Xenopus tropicalis: one gene and its partners. The protein of the gene in region 1 binds, or shares a complex with, the protein of each later gene. Links are inferred from orthologs where the notes say so. Each region holds a gene or a part of one and is shown in the gene's direction. Other genes may lie near its edges. The genes, in order: eif3i, eif3g and eif3f.

Region 1 (2,400 bases):
TTAGATCTGGCCATTTTACAATTTACTAAAAGTTAACTTAAAAGTGAACCACCCCTTTAAGGTATTAAGAAATGCCTTCTCCTTTAAACAAAACAGGGATTGTTTGTCCATATGTTGCAATAAATTCAAACTGACCAACTACATCAAAAACATTCTTGTGCTGGCCAGTCCTATGCTCAATTATCTTATTCAGTAAGAATTCTAGTGGTTCATTATACATTTTTCAGTTTTACCTAAGTCTTACCTGTACATACAAGGATTAAATGGTGGCAGCGCACTCCCAAAAGAAAGTCAGTGGCGCAGGTGCTATGCAATATAGCAATATGATGATAACTGAGCACTTGTGTGGCTTAGAAAATAAGTGAAAATATTTATTGGTGTTAAACCAATGTTTCGGTCCTACACTTTGAAACTTAATATCATATCTTTAACACGTACAATTTCAATAACCCTTCAATAGACTTTTTTCAGTTTCTATTCATCTACTGTATTCTTTACAGCTGTTTGACAGTACATCACTTGAGCATCAGAAAACTTTCAGGACTGAAAGACCTGTTAACTCTGCTGCCATCTCACCCATATATGACCATGTAAGTGTTTATTGTGAAATGTAAATGCCTTGTGCCAGTATGTAAAGATTCTGTTGCTGACATGTGCCCCTGCTTTGTAGGTAGTTTTAGGAGGAGGACAGGAAGCTATGGATGTAACCACAACATCAACAAGAATTGGAAAGTTTGAGGCCAGGTAAGTCAGAGTCCCTCCTGACCAAACCTATAGGCTTTACTAGGCCACTTTTTAATTTCCTTATCTTTTAAGGTTCTTCCATGTGGCTTTTGAGGAGGAGTTTGGCAGAGTAAAAGGCCATTTTGGGCCTATTAACAGTTTGGCATTCCATCCAGATGGCAAGAGGTAAGTTAAGGTGACGTTAGTAGCATAGAAATGTACAGTTTTACCTATCAGGAATTTATTCCTTTTTTTTTTTTTATGCATCTTTAGTTACAGCAGCGGAGGAGAGGATGGATACGTTAGAATACATTACTTTGACCCACAATATTTCGACTTTGAATTTGAGTCGTGAGACAGCTGCTTCGTGCTTGGTTATATCCTACTTCACATCTTTGCATACACACACACACACACACACACACACACACAATTGTATTGACTGCTCAATGATATCTTTACAATAAATGTTACTATATTTATTGAAGCAAAATAAACATACTTTGCCACTGTTCTTTCCCCACCAAAATGTTTCACATACATTTATCTGTGGGAAGGAAAATAACACAATGCATTTTTAAGAGATAGTGACACAAGAAATCTACTGTAACACTTTTTTTGCATGCTATTTATAATTTTGCCTTAAAAGTATTTGGCCAATGCTTTTACATTACCTATGTCATCCCCCTTTTTCCTCTGTGAGGGGGCTGCAGTAGTCTTTTAGCATTTAAAACTCTGACAGGTTGGTAAAACAGTCATATTGAGGATCTTCAAGTAACCATTGCTTAGAAAAGCAGACTATCAACTAGAACTATAGGTAACTTTTACTGTACTTTAATATTTGAGAGTAGTTTTTTAGTGTCAGTATCACTTTAATCATTGGGTGTGCTATACAGAGAGGGCTCAGTAATTACATCCTTTAATTCACATGCAGCTTCTCAGGTTGGAAACATACTGCAATTATCATTAATCCAGGACAAAGCAACAGGCATGAATTTCTATTAAATGGATTTATGCTTTGATGTCAGGGGTGGTTTGTATTTTCCCTCTGAAACAACATCTGACAGTATGAGAAATAAACTGCCTTTAACTTATCTTTGTGTACTACATTTGTTTAGATAGCCATTTGTACCTTTTTGTTTCCCCTCCAATCTTTTGATATACTGGACACGTGGGCACTGAGACTTTATTTTAACCTCTAAAGTTATTGTTTCTGTCGGAGGCATTTTTTATGCTCCTGTGAGCTCAACCATCTTCATCCATGCCATTTCTGTGTGTTCTAAGGGTAGCAGGTATCGAAGAAAGAAACCTGATGAGATAAAAAAATATTCGTTTTTAGAACCCACATTACTACCTTGTATTATATACTACTTATTGATAATGTATCTAAAGCGCCAAAATATTCTGCAGCTGTATACATTGAATATACAACTTGCATACAAAAACAAGAACTATACAAGAGGTACCTTGTAATGATTTTGCAGCTTGCCTCACCTGCCCATAACTGTAAGCTTTGTGGTGCAACAGAAGGCCAGATAACTAAAGGATTTTCTTGATATATTGGATTCAGAAGCTGCTGTCGCTCTTTTGGCTGGTTAAGGTGACCCCACAGCGAGTGTGTCCGATCTTGCACCTCATACTGACATCTGGTGGGAAAATAATTGTGACTTTTTGAAG
Region 2 (4,252 bases), on another chromosome or scaffold:
CACGTTTGGGGGACTGCAGGTGTCGGTATGTGCACGTTTGGGGGACTGCAGGTGTCGGTATGTGCACGTTTGGGGGACTGCAGGTGTCGGTATGTGCACGTTTGGGGGACTGCAGGTGTCGGTATGTGCACGTTTGGGGGACTGCAGGTGTCGGTATGTGCACGTTTGGGGGACTGCAGGTGTCGGTATGTGCACGTTTGAGGGACTGCAGGTGTCGGTATGTGCACGTTTGGGGGACTGCAGGTGTCGGTATGTGCACGTTTGGGGGACTGCAGGTGTCGGTATGTGCATGTTTGGGGGACTGCAGGTGTCGGTATGTGCATGTTTGGGGGACTGCAGAAGGTACAGAGGGAGTTGAAATGTGAGCAGATTATGATGAGAGGGGGAAAGGGGATTGAACAGAATTTTGTAAATATTAGATCCAGGGAGTTCCCATTGGAGTGAGAGGGGGAGTCAGAGCACAGAGATAACCCAAAGGAGGATGTGAGTGAGAGGAGTTTAGAGACAGGAGGGGCATTAGGGTTGTTACCAGGTTAGTACAATGGATTTCAATGTGCTGGGGGCTGAGTTCCTCACAACTGTAACCAAAGCTCAAGCATAATGAGAGCTAGAACTCCGGCCTCATGGCAACACTGCAGCTTATGGGCCCAGCTGAGGGAAAGCATTGGACGACCAACCAACAGACCCTGCTAGTGATAGACTACACGCAACCAACAGCCTCCATTCACATTATTTATCATGAGGCCACTGAAATAATAAGGGGCCCAAGCAAATATCCGCTGTGCGCCGCCCTATAATCGGCAATAATCTATTAGCCACAGGGCACGGTAACCGCCAAGTGCCAGTAACTAGTACAAAGTGAGGGAAAAGTACTGGCACTAAATACAAGCGCTACAGCAAATCGACTTCCGCCTCCGAATTCTCGGATTAGATAGTGGAAATTGAAGGACAGCACTATAGAGCGGCACCGGAAGCGCCTCTCTATCCGCCAGCTTGAGCTTGTTACTAGCGCGCAGTGTGGAGCCATCTCTCTCTTCAGCTTCCGGAAGCGCTAGCAGCCGCGGCCCAGTGCAGCACAGACATGCCGACCGCAGACTAGAGCGGCACCGGAAGTACCTCTCTATCCGGCGGCCTGAGCTTGTTACTAGCGCGCAGTGTGGAGCCATCTCTCTCTTCAGCTTCCGGAAGCGCTAGCAGCCGCGGCCCAGTGCAGCACAGACATGCCGACCGCAGACTAGAGCGGCACCGGAAGTACCTCTCTATCCGGCGGCCTGAGCTTGTTACTAGCGCGCAGTGTGGAGCCATCTCTCTCTTCAGCTTCCGGAAGCGCTAGCAGCCGCGGCCCAGCGCACCACAGACATGCCGACCGAAGACTATGAGTATGTGCGGGGAAATAGCATGGGAGCCAAGCGGGGAGTAGGAGGGCAGGGAACACACACTGTAGTCACGGTTGGAGTGAGAGTCTGTGGCCAAATGGAGATTTAGGGGAGACGTTCAGCCTTTGGGACCCTGTGTCCTACTTTAGGATTTCCAGATGTTGGTGGACTACAAGCGGGCCCGGTCTGGCCATCTGTGCGCTCTGGCAAATGCCAGAGGGGGCGCTGTCACTGTTTTATTGGGCCTGTGGGAGCCTCTGTATCATTGAATTGCACGATTGGATCCAGTCCTGACTACAAGTCCCAGCCATGTGAGTTGTAGTTCACCAACATCTGGGTATCCAAGTGTATGTAAGGCTGGGAGAGCCATAGTGTGTAGGGTAGGGAGGTCCAACCTAGGGCTGGGCGATATACCGTTTAATACCGAATACCGTTTTTTTTTTTTATAAAACTATATTCATTTTTCAGATACCGCAATACCGGGGTGTCAGGGTACTCACCCGTGCGGCCCGGTCTCGCGCGTGTCCCGTTGTCCATGGGACGTTGCGCACGCGCGCCCAGGTGCGCATGCGTCAAAGCGCACGTACATGTCAAAGCGTGCGCGTCTATGACGCGCTGATGGCGCCGGTTCTGCGCATGCGTGGGGGGTATTTAAAGTTATCAAACGCCTCCTCCTGTGCTATGTTGTCTGCGGCCTTGCCTGGGAAACTAAGCCTGCCTGATTTACCTTACGACTTTCTGTTGCCGATCCTTCACTTGCCTGACTCTGATTTTCAATACTGCAGTAATTATTCTCTAATTTATTAGGAAATGGGGTTAACACCTAATCATGCATGGAAAAAAAAATACCGTCAAATACCGTGACACCGATATAATTTTGAAAAATACCGTGATATAAATTTTTGGTCATACCGCCCAGCTCTAGTCCAACCTGCAACCCTCTGGCTTGCAGTGTATGCTGGGAGTTCAATGGATATTACAGGCTAGCTTCTGGCTGAGAGGGGTTAGGAACTTATAGGTGATGAGTGAAACAATACTAATTTGGGATGGGATGAGCCCTCCCCACCAGGGAGGGAGCGGGTACGAGGCTGAATGCCAGGCTGGCAGATGTGGGTATCTAGTCTGAGATCTCTGTTTATCCTTTCAGCTCCAAGCCCAGCTGGGCTGACCAGGTGGAGGAGGAAGGAATAGACCCAGAACCCATAAGTCCACCAGTCACCAAGGTCCAACAAGATCCAGCCAGCTGTGAGTATTTATTTGCAGACCTACACAAGGGTATCCGGCTACAGGGGCAGAAAGGGCATGGAACTGCCTTGCGTGTCACAAGACCACATTAGACTGCTAATACCGCGTTTTTAGCCTAGCAGCTCTCTTGAAAGTCAGTGACCAGCCTGTCCAGGTTGTGCATAGTCACTTAGGTACAGTCTGACTGCTCTGATTGCTGCTGAGCCAAGAGCCTCTTATTAGCACTAAAATAGAAGGTTAATGTAAACAGTGTAATTATGTCAATAAATGTTAATTTTTTTAGCTTTAGATCCCACTTATTTCTTCCTCTGTTGACTTTTCAGCAGTGTAGACAAAGCAGATAGCCGAACATTCTCAAACTTTCTCATTTAGTGCTCCTATAAAGTCCTGTTTTGGGTAGTGGAGCTGAACTGTATATTTTAAATTAGAATTCCACTCACTACAGTTACCCCACAGCAACTGGAGGCCCACCGACTGAATGTGGCCCTCCAGATATGCTTTATGGCCCCCAGTCTGCTTTAAAGCTCTATGGAATTCACTGTATGAAATAATTTTAATGTAATAATCCAAACATTGTATATGAGAAATAATTAGCCCACTACATGCAATAAGCTGGACAGCTTTACCCCACAGTAATAGCTGGCTGAATTTAGGCCTTGTTGTGTGTATGTTTGAGCAGGCTGTCTGTTATGATTATGATTTTACCCCCCCCCAGTTGTTCTGGACACTCCTCAAGAGGTCATCAATGGTAAAATCAAAACTATCACAGAGTACAAGCTGAATGATGAAGGCAAGAAAATCAAGGTAGGGACAGCGCATTATTATTGGTGGGGAGGGCTTGCACTTTGTTTCATTTTCATACTCTGTGTACTTATGGGAGAAAGGCTTACATCTGCTACAGATGCTATGAATGCAGTATGTCTTTTATTATTTCATAAGGTTCCTTATCCCTGACAACATGAAAGCAAAATGTTTGAATATATTTTCTGTGTTTTTTTTTTGTTTTTCTTTTTAGCTTCTGTGTTAAATTATTATTGGCTAAATGTCTCTTGCATTCTAGACAGCCGTGAGTTTTTGTAGGTTCATTTATACAGACTGCCTAAGGACATGTCAGTGTGTATATATTATATACTTGTTTCCTATGCGCCTAGTGTGGCAAGATAGTGGTCACTGGTTTATTGAGGAACTGGCTGAATATAGGCTAAAGCAGCAGATCCTAGATCTCTGTATTTATCCTGTAGAACGGCGCTGTTCAACTGATGGCCACAAACAGCCCGCAGGTCCATGTCTTGTGGCTCAGTGAAGCTCCAAGGAATTTATGCAGATTAATTATTAAAGCATATTCTTTTATCAATTGCCCCATCCAAACTGGCAAGTACATGATGATACAGAGGTTGGCAGAATGAGGCATAGGAGGAAATAATGAGATTGCAGAAACGTAGGGTGAATGGGTAATAAAGCTGCAAAGAAAAAGGAGAGTAGAGAAGAGAGAGGTAGATATACAGTGGAGGAAATAATTATTTGACCCCTCACTGATTTTGTAAGTTTGTCCATTGACAAAGAAATGAAAAGTCTCAGAACAGTATCATTTCAACGGTAGGTTTATTTTAACAGTGGCAGATAGCACATCA
Region 3 (4,282 bases), on another chromosome or scaffold:
AGATTCTAGCTATCTGTATAACAGAGCATTCTGTCACAGTGGCACAGATCCTATCTGATCCCCCCATTGTAAGCAGCAGTCCTGCCCTGCTTTATGGCTGAGATTCTAGCTATCTGTATAACAGAGCATTCTGTCACAGTGGCACAGATCCTATCTGATCCCCCCATTGTAAGCAGCAGTCCTGCCCTGCTTTATGGCTGAGATTCTAGCTATCTGTATAACAGAGCATTCTGTCACAGTGGCACAGATCCTATCTGATCCCCCCCCATTGTAAGCAGCAGTCCTGCCCTGCTTTATGGCTGAGATTCTAGCTATCTGTATAACAGAGCATTCTGTCACAGTGGCACAGATCCTATCTGATCCCCCCATTGTAAGCAGCAGTCCTGCCCTGCTTTATGGCTGAGATTCTAGCTATCTGTATAACAGAGCATTCTGTCACAGTGGCACAGATCCTATCTGATCCCCCCATTGTAAGCAGCAGTCCTGCCCTGCTTTATGGCTGAGATTCTAGCTATCTGTATAACAGAGCATTCTGTCTGAAGAGATAAGGAATATAAGAATAATATGGCTCTTACCAATAATGACCAGGATCAGAGCCGCCATGCCGGCAGAAGCAGAAGGCACTCAGTGGGTCGGGCTGTATATAAACCCTGTTAGTTCTGTATTTGGCTCTATGTATAGAACATTTCACAACTCCCTACTCTTCCCAAACAGGGATGAAGGTTCCTTAACCCTTAAACCCCCCCCAGAGATACAGGACACTCACTGATTGGTTGTTTCTGATACTCCAGATTCCTAATCGTTTAGTGTGTTCTAAAAGGTCCTGTACGAAGCAGCCTGACAATTGGTCTTTTTTTATTCGACATTATTAGCCTTATTATTCTGTATCTTTCCAAAATGCTGCTTTGTTTGGGTTGGGGGGGGGGGTCAATTCAAGTTTCCCTTTATTTTTGTGATCAATAAACTTGAATTAGACAATATTTTTTATTGAAGTTTTAATAAATTACCCACAGTTGATTAAACAATTATATTTATTTGGCTTGTGAGGAGCTTCCCTCCCCTATGGCAGAGGTATATACTAAATATATACCAATATTTATATATAAATGTGTTTTTCAGAAACCTGAACTGGAAACGTCCACCTAATGGTTAATACTGAGATAGATAGAGACCTGGGCAGCTCCACATAAACATTAAACACCAGAACTCCCTGTATATAAGAACATTGGGAGGCGTACAGCCAATCGCAGCAATATTATTTTTGATGGACTGCTTTATGACCAATCACAGTAAAGCATTGCGCCTCGAAGGCGTCCCTCCGTAAGCGCCAATCAGGAACAAAGCGACGCGCCTAGCGTCGACGTTCCCGGCGTACGTGCAAGCACTTCCTGTATGTGGTCCAATCGGAATGCGGCGTTTTGTGACTCACTGAAGCCCCGCCCATGATCCCCCCTCTTGCGCGTCTGCCCTAGTTAAGATGGCGGCTGCCGGCTCTCTATCCGCGGCGGGATCAGCCATGCTGCACGGTCCGGTAGTGAAGGTCCATCCGGTGGTCTTAGCCTCCATCGTGGACAGTTATGAGAGGAGAAACGAAGGAGCCGGGCGGGTTATTGGCACCCTTTTGGGTAAGGGGGGGCCCTGGTTACCGTGGGGGGGTATAAGTGACGGGAGCCGCAGTGGGACAAAAAGGGTTCGTTGTGACAAGAGCTGTATTCAGTACTGAGATGTAACCATTGGTTGTTGTGTGATTACAGGGACGACAGACAAACACTCAGTGGAGGTGACCAACTGCTTCTCCGTCCCGCACAATGAGTCTGAGGATGAGGTTTGTACCATTAATAATAATATGTGGGGGTGTTTATTCAGGTGGGTGCTGCCCCCCCCCCCACTGGGCACATACAGCGGCCCTATGGCTTCAGTTTGGGGTTCAGACCGTTATTGGGTGTGTAGGTGTCTCCTACCGAGTCCGGGCTCTGACTCCTGAACCAATGTAGCTGGCTGGTAATTGGCTGCCTTGGGCTATAATGTGTTGGCAGTCAGTAGCAGCAGTGCGGGGAATCCATAGAAACTATATTTAATAACATTTGGGAAATGTACGTGTATATTGGGGAGTATTGGGGGAGTTTCCCCTGAATCACTTGCTGTAGCCTGAGTAGTGTGGGGGTTGGTCTGGGCCAGCGGGACACTGGGGGAAAAGCCTGATGGGCCCACCAACCCAGACCCAATCCCCACTGCCCCCCTCCCTTCCCCCGATTACACCCAGGGGAGTCTCAGATATACATACTCGGGGGAGGGCAGGGTAGGGTGAGAGTTGTGTCGGGCCCGCACACCCCATTCCTACCCTGTGTAGTGTTGCCCTGCTCAGTATTTCATGCCCTCTGTAATTACCCCAGGTGGCTGTCGACATGGAGTTTGCCAAGAACATGTACGAGCTGCATAAGAAAGTTACCTCCACTGAGCAGATTGTGGGCTGGTAAGTGGTACTTCCCATCCCCCCCTGCCCCAGTGTGTGTGGCGCCTCCCGTCCCCCCCCTGCCCCAGTGTGTGTGGCGCCTCCCGTCCCCCCCTGCCCCAGTGTGTGTGGCGCCTCCCGTCCCCCCTGCCCCAGTGTGTGTGGCGCCTCCCGTCCCCCCCTGCCCCAGTGTGTGTGGCGCCTCCCGTCCCCCCCTGCCCCAGTGTGTGTGGCGCCTCCCGTCCCCCCCTGCCCCAGTGTGTGTGGCGCCTCCCGTCCCCCCCTGCCCCAGTGTGTGTGGCGCCTCCCGTCCCCCCCTGCCCCAGTGTGTGTGGCGCCTCCCGTCCCCCCCCTGCCCCAGTGTGTGTGGCGCCTCCCGTCCCCCCTGCCCCAGTGTGTGTGGCGCCTCCCGTCCCCCCCTGCCCCAGTGTGTGTGGCGCCTCCCGTCCCCCCCTGCCCCAGTGTGTGTGGCGCCTCCCGTCCCCCCCTGCCCCAGTGTGTGTGGCGCCTCCCGTCCCCCCTGAGCCCAGTGTGTGTGGCGCCTCCCGTCCCCCCTGAGCCCAGTGTGTGTGGCGCTTCCCGTCCCCCCTGAGCCCAGTGTGTGTGGCGCTTCCCGTCCCCCCTGAGCCCAGTGTGTGTGGCGCTTCCCGTCCCCCCTGAGCCCAGTGTGTGTGTGGGGCGCTTCCCGTCCCCCCTGAGCCCAGTGTGTGTGTGGGGCGCTTCCCGTTCCCCCTGAGCCCAGTGTGTGTGTGTGGCGCTTCCCGTCCCCCCCTGAGCCCAGTGTGTGTGTGTGTGTGTGTGTGGCGCTTCCCGTCCCCCCCTGAGCGCAGTGTGTGTGTGTGGCGCTTCCCGTCCCCCCCCTGCCCCAGTGTGGTGTGTGGCGCTTCCCGTCCCCCCCTGCCCCAGTGTGTGTGTGTGTGGCGCTTCCCGTCCCCCCTACCCCAGTGTGTGTGGCGCTTCCCGTTCCCCCCGAGCCCAGTGTGTGTGGCGCTTCCCGTTCCCCCCGAGCCCAGTGTGTGTGTGGCGCTTCCCGTTCCCCCCGAGCCCAGTGTGTGTGTGGCGCTTCCCGTTCCCCCCGAGCCCAGTGTGTGTGTGGCGCTTCCCGTTCCCCCCGAGCCCAGTGTGTGTGTGGCACTTCCTGTCCCCTGAGCCGTGTGTGTTCTGATACGTTGCAGGTACGCCACAGGAAATGACATCACCGAGCACTCTGTTCTGATCCATGAGTACTACAGCCGCGAGGCCACCAATCCCATTCACATGACGGTGGATACCAGCCTGCAGGGGAACCGTATGAACATAAAGGCCTATATCAGGTACGGGGGCGCCAACCTCCCTCCCAACAAGCGTATGGGACGTTCCATTGGCTGAATGCCTCTCCTGCTCTTTCCCACAGCTCCCCGATGGGCGTTCCCGGCAAAACCATGGGCGTCATGTTCACCCCTCTCACCGTGCAGTATGTCTACTATGACACAGAGCGGATAGGAGGTGAGTGCCTGGTACCTGCGAGCCCTCTGGCGCCTCTAGTGGCAGCCGGGGTTCCAAGCCTGTAGGGTTTGTAGCTTTCATGCCCGCGATGCCCTACAGCATGTATATATAATCCCGTCTGTCTCCTCACAGTGGATCTGATCACCAAGACCTGCGCCAATCCCAACCGCTCCATTGGCCTGACCACTGACCTGCAGCAGGTGGGGGTGGCGGCTAACAGACTGCAGGATTCCCTCAGCACGGTACTGCAGTATGCCGAGGATGTACTGGTGAGTGCAGCTCCCATCACCCCCTCTGATTGGTTCTTACTCCCCGTTCACCCTTAACCCCTGTCTCTCTCTCTCG

What was found.
Region 2: eif3i (region 1) and eif3g share a complex: the UniProt entries of both Homo sapiens proteins name them as parts of the eukaryotic translation initiation factor 3 (eIF-3) complex. The link is inferred for Xenopus tropicalis from reciprocal best matches to the Homo sapiens genes EIF3I and EIF3G.
Region 3: eif3i (region 1) and eif3f share a complex: the UniProt entries of both Homo sapiens proteins name them as parts of the eukaryotic translation initiation factor 3 (eIF-3) complex. The link is inferred for Xenopus tropicalis from reciprocal best matches to the Homo sapiens genes EIF3I and EIF3F.

The regions. Positions count from the first base shown.
Region 1 is NC_030678.2:86,496,783-86,499,182, reverse strand, and holds the end of eif3i (eukaryotic translation initiation factor 3 subunit I), read left to right. Parts: intron 1-500; coding exon 501-590; intron 591-670; coding exon 671-744; intron 745-816; coding exon 817-909; intron 910-996; coding exon 997-1,078; 3' UTR 1,079-1,817; downstream 1,818-2,400. Other genes in the region: uncharacterized protein LOC100216114, read right to left, coding at 2,084-2,369. UniProt on the Homo sapiens protein: Component of the eukaryotic translation initiation factor 3 (eIF-3) complex, which is required for several steps in the initiation of protein synthesis.
Region 2 is NC_030679.2:137,098,098-137,102,349, reverse strand, and holds the start of eif3g (eukaryotic translation initiation factor 3 subunit G), read left to right. Parts: upstream 1-1,327; 5' UTR 1,328-1,359; coding exon 1,360-1,379; intron 1,380-2,523; coding exon 2,524-2,621; intron 2,622-3,336; coding exon 3,337-3,425; intron 3,426-4,252. UniProt on the Homo sapiens protein: RNA-binding component of the eukaryotic translation initiation factor 3 (eIF-3) complex, which is required for several steps in the initiation of protein synthesis.
Region 3 is NC_030684.2:141,318,839-141,323,120, forward strand, and holds the start of eif3f (eukaryotic translation initiation factor 3 subunit F), read left to right. Parts: upstream 1-1,467; 5' UTR 1,468-1,477; coding exon 1,478-1,625; intron 1,626-1,754; coding exon 1,755-1,825; intron 1,826-2,393; coding exon 2,394-2,473; intron 2,474-3,627; coding exon 3,628-3,765; intron 3,766-3,845; coding exon 3,846-3,937; intron 3,938-4,069; coding exon 4,070-4,206; intron 4,207-4,282. Other genes in the region: fcrlb (Fc receptor-like B), read right to left, coding at 576-603. UniProt on the Homo sapiens protein: Component of the eukaryotic translation initiation factor 3 (eIF-3) complex, which is required for several steps in the initiation of protein synthesis.